Linked DNA regions of Macaca fascicularis. The protein of the gene in region 1 purifies or fractionates together with the protein of each later gene. This does not show direct contact. Links are inferred from orthologs where the notes say so. Each region holds a gene or a part of one and is shown in the gene's direction. Other genes may lie near its edges.

Region 1 (4,482 bases):
GGCATCAGGCTGGATCTTCACACTCGGACCTCACTCTGCTCTATCCTGCCCAGTGTTGCTTCAAGGCAAAAAGATTTGACACCAGTTTCAGTTTAGATCCTGCCTCTACCTGGGTGTGACCCGGGTCCATCTCCAGCTCGGCCTCTGCTTTCTCTTCATAAACTTTTGGTGTTAGTCTTCGGATGATCTCTAAAACATGGCCCAGGTGTTCCTTGCCAGTAGAGTGTAGTCAGATTTGGAGGGACTGGACACTCAGGGTGAACAAGAGGAAGGCCTCAGGAGGCAGTAAAAGCTGACAAGAGGAGATAAAATGAAGCGCCTAGGGATGCATATTGGACTAGCGGGCGAAAGGCCATGACTCCTTAGTTTGCAGATAGTGAGTGGGAAAGAACTGGGGCCGAGATTGGGTAAGTTTCCCAGCGCAATTAAAAAAAAAGAAGAAGAAGAAGAAGAAGAACTAGAAGAATTACCCGGGTCCGGCCTCTTTCGCGTAGCCTGGGGCTGAGTCGCAGGCTGAGAAATCTGGTCGGGCCAGTAGGGGGCTCCACCAAGCGCAGTCTCAGAATGCCCAAGAGCCCCACCGTCGCCCGGGGTCTTCTAGAGGAGTGGGTAGTGGTGGGCGCTGAAGAGCTGTAAAAGACTAGCAGCCCGCGTCCGCGTCCGTCCTCCCGGGTCCCCAGTCCGCAGGCGGCCGCCGCCTCGGCCCCGCCCTCCCACCTCCATTCCCGGCCCCGCGGGCCCGAACGGTCCCTCTCGCAACCGATCCTATGGCGGGGGCGCGGAGGATGCGAATTCCTAGAAGCCTTAAGAGGCTGCCCAGCGTTGGAAGTTCGTATCCCCGAGAATGCTGGAGGTTCCAGCTCACACACCCGCTCCGGGCACAGAGTCAGCTGGGGGGTGCTGGGAGGGAGAACGCCCCGCTCCTCATCCCCCATCCTTGTGCACCCTGGAGCCCAGCTCCATACGTTCGGCCACCCCAGGCGGACTCGGAGGTGGTCGGGTAGCGGGTGGTGGCGGGAGGGGACCGGGTAACTGCAGGCCGGAGAGGAGGTCGCTGGGCCGGGCCGGAGGCGCACAGGGGCTGCGTGGCTACCTCTGCGGCACCCGCCCCACCTCCGCCGGCTAAGCCCGGAGGGGGACTGTGAGTCAGATCTCGGGCACCCGCGGGTCGGGCATGGGGGGAGGGCAGGTCAGGAAATGACATCAGAGGCCTGTGCTCAGGGAGCGGGGGTCTGAGCCGGGCCGGGGCGGCGGGGGCGGCAGTGAGTGGAGTGGGGTGGCGGCGGGCGGACCTCGGCGGAGCCTCTGGCCTGAGGCAGGATCAGGGCCCCTTCCTGGGGGAGTTTCCTGCCTGGTCCGCCCTTCCCCGCTCTCCCCGCCCCCTCTCCGGGCCGCTCCTTGTATGGTCTGGGCGCCGCTCTCTCCCCGCCCCCTCCCTCCTCCCTCCCTCCTCCTTCCGTGTGTCCCTCCCCGCCCGGCTGGAGGCTGCTCCGGACTGGGACGCAGAGTCCGTGGACCCGGCGCCGAGGAGGCCACCCGAGACGCGGCGCGCACGCTCCGGCCCGCGGTGAGGTGCGGGGAGCGGCAGGGCGGCCCCACGGGGAGGGGGCGCGGGGCGCCGGGAGGGGGCGCATGGGGGTCGCCAAGGGGAGCTGGGACCGCCCGGGGCTCCTGAGCCGGGCTCTGCGCTGCGTAACCCGGCGACCCACCCCAGCAGCCCGGCCCGGCCATGGCGGCCCCCCGCCCGTCTCCCGCGATCTCCGTTTCGGTCTCGGCTCCGGCTTTTTACGCCCCCCAGAAGAAGTTCGGCCCTGTGGTGGCCCCAAAACCCAAAGTGAATCCCTTCCGGCCCGGGGACAGCGAGCCTCCCCCGGCACCCGGGGCCCAGCGCGCACAGATGGGCCGGGTGGGCGAGATTCCCCCGCCGCCCCCGGAAGGTATGCGGCGGGGCTTGGGGGCTGGACCCCAGCGGGCGCCGGAGGGGGGGCACTGTTTCGGGAATCTGGGGATGTCTGGAAAGGTTGTTGCCTAGGGGGCTGGGCGCAGCCACCCTGTCCCGAGCAGATGTTCTTACCTCATCGTGGAGCTCGTGGCTGGGAGCCAGAGCTCCTGGGACCGTTCCAAGTCCCCCGCTTGGGGGTGGGAGGCGGGAATGTGGGGCACGAATCTTCCCCTCCGGGTCCGTTTTCCGAAGTGTAACGGGAGCTGCACCACTCCTCGGCCGTGCCCCCGGCCTTTCCTGACCTGGTACTCCCAGGGCGCCCTGCGCCCCGCCTTTGCGTCCCCACACGCTCTGGGACCCTCGAGAGAATTCTTGGGTTAGGGGTTAGAGCGGTAAACCGAGGGGAGCTTGGGTGAGGGGCAGAGGGACCCCGGGCGACGTCTTTCTCCTTCCTACCCCAGACTTTCCCCTGCCTCCACCTCCCCTCGCCGGGGATGGCGACGATGCGGAGGGTGCTCTGGGAGGTGCCTTCCCGCCGCCCCCTCCGCCGATCGAGGAATCATTTCCCCCTGCGCCTCTGGAGGAGGAGATCTTCCCTTCCCCGCCGCCTCCTCTGGAAGAGGAGGGAGGGCCTGAGGCCCCCATACCGTCCCCACCGCAGGTATGGAGGCCTGGGAGGGGCGGCTGTACCGGACACCCCCAAGGCGAGGAGAAGAGGGCCCTTTCTTACCTCCCCTGCACCTCTGCCTTGGGGGTGGGGGGAATGGAGGCATGGAATAGGTGCTCTGACCTCTGACCCTCTAGCCCAGGGAGAAGGTGAGCAGTATTGATTTGGAGATCGACTCTCTGTCCTCACTGCTGGATGACATGACCAAGAATGATCCTTTCAAAGCTCGGGTAAGGGACCGCAAAGTAGGAAAAGCAGGGCCCAGGGCCAGAGAGACAGGGGATAGAGCTATGGAGGATGGTGTCCTCCTGTCTGCATCTCTCTTCCCTCTCCCACCCCTTGCAGGTGTCATCTGGATATGTCCCCCCACCAGTGGCCACTCCATTCATTTCCAAGTCCAGTACTAAGCCTGCAGCTGGGGGCACAGCACCCCTGCCTCCTTGGAAGGCCCCTTCCAGCTCCCAGCCTCTGCCCCAGGTTCCGGCTCCAGCTCAGAGCCAGACACAGTTCCATGTTCAGCCCCAGCCCCAGCCCAAGCCTCAGGTCCAACTCCATGTCCAGTCCCAGCCCCAGCCTGTGTCTTTGGCTAACACCCAGCCCCGAGGTCCCCCAGCCTCATCGCCAGCTCCAGCCCCTAAGTTTTCTCCAGTGACTCCTAAGTTTACTCCCGTGGCTTCCAAGTTCAGTCCTGGAGCCCCAGGTGGATCTGGGTCACAGCCAAATCAAAAATTGGGGCATCCCGAAGCTCTTTCCGCTGGCACAGGCTCCCCTCAACCTCCCAGCTTCACCTATGCTCAGCAGAGGGAGAAGCCCCGAGTGCAGGAGAAGCAGCACCCAGTGCCCGCACCGGCTCAGAACCAAAACCAGGTAAGGGATGGTGATAGGACAAGGCTTGGGACCCGGGTGCTGGGGCGGGGCTGAGTCAGGAGCCAGAACAGAAGCATGAAGGTGATTGGAGAGTCAGGGTGGACACGGGGGTGGCGGGACAGGAAGTTTCATCCTCTGAGGTTAGCCTGGTGGAACAGTGGTAAGAAAATGCTCTTCTGGAGGAGAGGCCTGGCTGGGTGTGGGGCTGGGTGGGGCCTGGCTGGGAGGGCACAGAGAGCACAGGCTCTGAATTAGGAGGATCTGGTGGACCTTTCCTTGCGCCTTTACCCCAGAAAGTTAAAGGGAGGGATGAGATCACCAGTCCCACCTTGGTTTTTCCCATTCTTGGGTCTTGAGTTAATCTCCCTGCTCCTCTGAGCACTCTTTCTGCCTGAGGGCTTGGAGATAAGAGTCAGCCCCAGTAAACATTGGCTGAGCCAGCATCTACCACGTGCCAGGCACTGTGCTCTGTGCTCAGGAGGGTAGGACATGGGAAGGACGAGATCTCTGCAAGAAGCTCAGCCTTCAGGTGTCAGATGGACCTGGAATGGAATTCCTGGTTCGGGCTTCTCCCAAGCCCTTAGACTGGGCAAGTTAGGTGAACCCTGAGCCTCAGTTTCTCAATCTTTAACATTATCTACTCCATACAGTGGTTGTAAAGATTAGGTGAACTAATAACCTAGAGAGTGTTGGGTTCTGTATCTAGCACATGAATGCTCAAAATACAAAAGCTGTAATTACAAAATGGTTCTTGCCTTCTAGTTCAGGAAATAAGACCTTCCAGTTTCTGGTGATGATGATGCTGGTCCAAGCATCCATAGAGTCCACTGATAGTGTGGATGTCTACTTACACTCAGACACAGCATAGGAAGAAATGCCAAGGACCAGTGAGCTTTGCAGAATCCTGTGAGTCACAGGCACTCAGACCAGGAAGTCCACTTGGGGCCTGGCAAATTAGGAGAGGCTTCGAAGGATGGGCAGGACGTAAGAATCCGGAGAGGAGAGG
Region 2 (3,806 bases), on another chromosome or scaffold:
ATAAATAAAAAATTAAGAATTGATATAATTAAAATTTTTATAGTAAAGTTGTAAAAATAGTATAAATAATTTCTATAAATTAATCACGTAGGTTCACCCATCAACATTTTACCAGTATTTGCTTTTTTATTCCTTCTTCGGGTATGTTTCCTTCTTTACACATGCATTTTTTTTTTTTCTTTTGAGACGGAGTTTCACTCTTGTTATCCAGACTGGAGTGCAGTGGCGCGATCTCAGCTCACTGCAATCTCCACCTCCCAGGTTCAAGCGATTCTGCCTCAGCCTCCTGAGTAGCTGGGATCACAGGCGCCAACCACCATGCCCAGCTAATTTTTGTATTTTTAGTAGAGATAGGGTTTCGTGATGTTGACCAGGCTGGTCTTGAAATCCTGACCTCAGGTGATCCACCCGCCTCAGCCTCCCAAAATGCTGGGATTACAGTTGTGAGCCATCGCACCTGGCCTACACATGCACTTTTGTTTGAATGATTTGAGAGTAACTCAGAGACACAAGCTTCTATTTTCCTAAGTACCTCAGTGTGAATTTTATAAGAACAAGGACATTTACCTGCATAACCAGTAATGTAATTATCAAAATCAGGAAAGTTAACATTGATAGAATACTGTAATCTACAAATGTATTAATATTCAAATTTCATCTATAGTCCAATGACGTCTTTAGTGACAGTTTTTTTCATAGTGCAAGATCATTATTGCATTTAGTTCTAATGTCTCTTTGATCTACTTTATGATAATTCCTCAATCTTTCAGAATACTAGCATTTTTGAAGACTGTAGGCAGTTATTTTGCCTGGTATCCTTCAGTTTGGCTTATCTGATTTTTCCTCAAGATTAGATTCAAGTTATGCAGGGGTTGTTTTAGCAGGAATATTATCAAAGCAAAGTTATGCCCTTTTCAGGGCAACACAGGAAGAGACACATGATACTGTTTCATTGCATTCTTGTTGATAGTAGTTTTGATAAACTCTTGTTGGTATATAAAATCAATACTGAAAATCTATTGGTTCTTAAAGCTTACAAATAATATTTAGGTTTTTAAAAATTAATGCTGATGTTTCCTTCTGTTTTAGATGTAATATATTAATAAAAATACGGTTGTCTAACATAGGAGTTGATTATGTCTGTGTATTCTCATTAAGATGGAGGATGCCTCTTTCCCAAGTGGAGGGAATGCTATTGGTGTGAACTCGGCCTCATCTAAAGCAGATACAGGCCGTGGAAATGGACCCCTTCCTTTAGGGGGTAGTGGTTTAATGGAAGAAATGAGTGCCCTGCTGGCCAGGAGGTAAGGAATTTCATTATAATGGACATGCCCAGAATTGAGAGGATTTTAATTTTATTCCGAATACAACTAACTAGATGCACTTCTTTCCTCATAGAGAAGTGGTTTTTATACTGAATCAGATAATATTTTTAAAAATTGGATTTGCCTTCTTTGTAGGAGAAGAATTGCTGAAAAGGGATCAACAGTAGAAACAGAACAGAAAGAGGACAAAGGTGTAAGTTAATAAAGATAGTCTATCTTAAAATATGGTATTCAAGCACAGCCCATTCAGGAAATAGTGTCAGCATTTATTTAATTTGAACTTAATTAGCTTGAACTTATATTTGCTAATTTTTAACTATTTATGCATGTGAAGTGGCTTGTTTTGACTGTTATTTATAAATTTTAAATGGCAGTCTTAGTAAAATGAGTTGAGTATTTGGAGTTGTGGGAAAAGCATTGAAGTTCAAACCTGTGGAGTTTAATTCTGTTCCTTAAATGAGTGAATGACATTTCATTTCCCTTGCATTAATTTAAAAGGAAGGAATTAGCCTAAATTCATATATTTCCCCTAGGAGCTCGATGGTTATTGGCTGTGCCCCTTAAGAGTGTATCCTTCATGCCCTCCTCCCTGATTCAGCTGGGCACACTCTGCTTTGTCTGTGCTATATATTGGCGTGCAACAAATAATATGTTTCCCTTGCTCCATTTGGCTGCCTTTGATACCATTCCTCAAATCTGTCTCTTGTGTCTGGCTTTGTAGCATTGGCTAGTGAAAGTTCTCAGGGAGAACACATATGAGGAAAGGAACTGTGGGGAGGGTTGAAGGGGAGGTGATTGAAAACAGGAGAAGAAAGAAGTCTAAGCTGAAATGAAAGGGAGAGAAGACCGATGAAAGAGAAAGTGGGGAGTGGCAGAAAGAATATTAGAAGTGCATGTGTAAAACACTAAATGTATATAGCAGCAGGGGACTGGTAGATGTGATATTAATATGTATCTGTACATTTAGGAAGATTCAGAGCCTGTAACTTCTAAGGCCTCTTCAACAAGTACACCTGGTAAGTTCAAGATAAATATTTTAACCTTTATAAACTTTCTCTGAAAGTATTAATACTCCCCAGTTAAAAATTCCTCCTTTCCCCATGTTTGGACCAAGTGACTAGACACCAAAATGCCAGAGTTCTTTGTTCACACCTGAAAGCATTAATTAACTTTTTTCCTCCTGGAAGCTGCTGTTACTTTCTTGAGGTTACTTACTAAAACAAGGAAAATATTAATGTACTATTAGATGACGAGAAGTATTTTTCATAATTGTTTTCCTAAAGGTAAAAATAAAGTGAGCATGTTAGTTAGTACTGCAGTCTCCCTCAGAACATTCTCAAATTGAGAAGGGTATCCTAGCCATTCATTTGGGTGATATTGATAATTAAGGGAATAAAGTTTCTGATTTGTAAATTTAAAAAGTCTCCTTAAAATTTTGGGGAAGTGTTCTTGAATTCAGTGAAATTTCTGACATTGAGAATTCTTGAGCATCCAGTAAATCACCTAGATTATTAACAAAGTATATTTCACTAGAGGTACTTGATGAGTGCTGTATCCAAGATGAGAATATGAACTCATTACATATTCACAAGTTATTTCTTCATATTTGATTAAAGACTAAGGGCTGGACTATCCAACTCCTTATCTATTCTGGAATGAAACAACATAAATAAACTTGATGAGTTAATATCTAGAGTGGTCCATAGGAAACCAGTATAGAGAAATGCTTATATTCCTACAGTTTTGATTTAAAGACAACCAACTGCATCTACAGTTACCTTTTTAATTTTCATTGTTTTATTTTTTTGAGATGGGGTCTCACTCTGTTGCCCAGGCTGGAGTGCAATGGTGCGATATTGGCTCACTGCATCCTCTACCTCCTAGGCTCAAGTGATCCTCCCACCTTAGCCCCCAACCCCCCAAGTAGCTGAGGCCCCAGGTGCATAGCACCACTCCTGGCTAATTGTTTGCATTTTTGGTAGAGACAGGGTTTCACCATGTTGCCCAGGCTGGTCTCAAACTCCTGAACTCAAGTGATCCAGCTGTTTCAGTCTCCCAAAGTGCTGGGATTACAGGCATGAGCCACAATGTGCCACCTAGAATTCCCTTTGTTTTTTTTTTTTAAGTACTTCTGTTTTTGTTTTTTGTGATTGTAATCCATCTTTTCACACCCCCACCCCCCATTCCTCATTCTCATTATTAAATAGTGACTCTTCAGTAGACTGATTGCTGTACCATAATTAACATCATGGCTTTGTTTTCCCTCTGAATAGGACTCAATTTATGTTACTTTAATTAAAAATTCAGTGCTTTGTGACCCACTTATTTTAGCTTTATCCTTCTTTCTGTAAGCCAAAAGTAATTATATATGCTGTCATTAGTACCGCATAGATGTTGTAAATCTGAACCATACTTCAGGGTCACAGAACCTTTAGAATATGATGAGAGCTATAGATCCTTTTTCCAGGGGGGAAAATTGTA

What was found.
Region 2: the proteins of ZYX (region 1) and ENAH purify together in Homo sapiens (co-immunoprecipitation; 4 studies listed by BioGRID and IntAct, counting the BioPlex papers as one, with this or other methods). This does not show direct contact. The link is inferred for Macaca fascicularis from reciprocal best matches to the Homo sapiens genes ZYX and ENAH.

What each region holds. Positions count from the first base shown.
Region 1 is NC_088377.1:185,243,815-185,248,296, forward strand, and holds the start of ZYX (zyxin), read left to right. Parts: upstream 1-1,502; 5' UTR 1,503-1,572; intron 1,573-1,714; 5' UTR 1,715-1,729; coding exon 1,730-1,937; intron 1,938-2,403; coding exon 2,404-2,603; intron 2,604-2,746; coding exon 2,747-2,839; intron 2,840-2,954; coding exon 2,955-3,476; intron 3,477-4,482. UniProt on the Homo sapiens protein: Adhesion plaque protein. Binds alpha-actinin and the CRP protein. Important for targeting TES and ENA/VASP family members to focal adhesions and for the formation of actin-rich structures.
Region 2 is NC_088375.1:83,403,986-83,407,791, reverse strand, and holds part of ENAH (protein enabled homolog), read left to right. Parts: intron 1-1,158; coding exon 1,159-1,304; intron 1,305-1,460; coding exon 1,461-1,518; intron 1,519-2,292; coding exon 2,293-2,341; intron 2,342-3,806. UniProt on the Homo sapiens protein: Ena/VASP proteins are actin-associated proteins involved in a range of processes dependent on cytoskeleton remodeling and cell polarity such as axon guidance and lamellipodial and filopodial dynamics in migrating cells.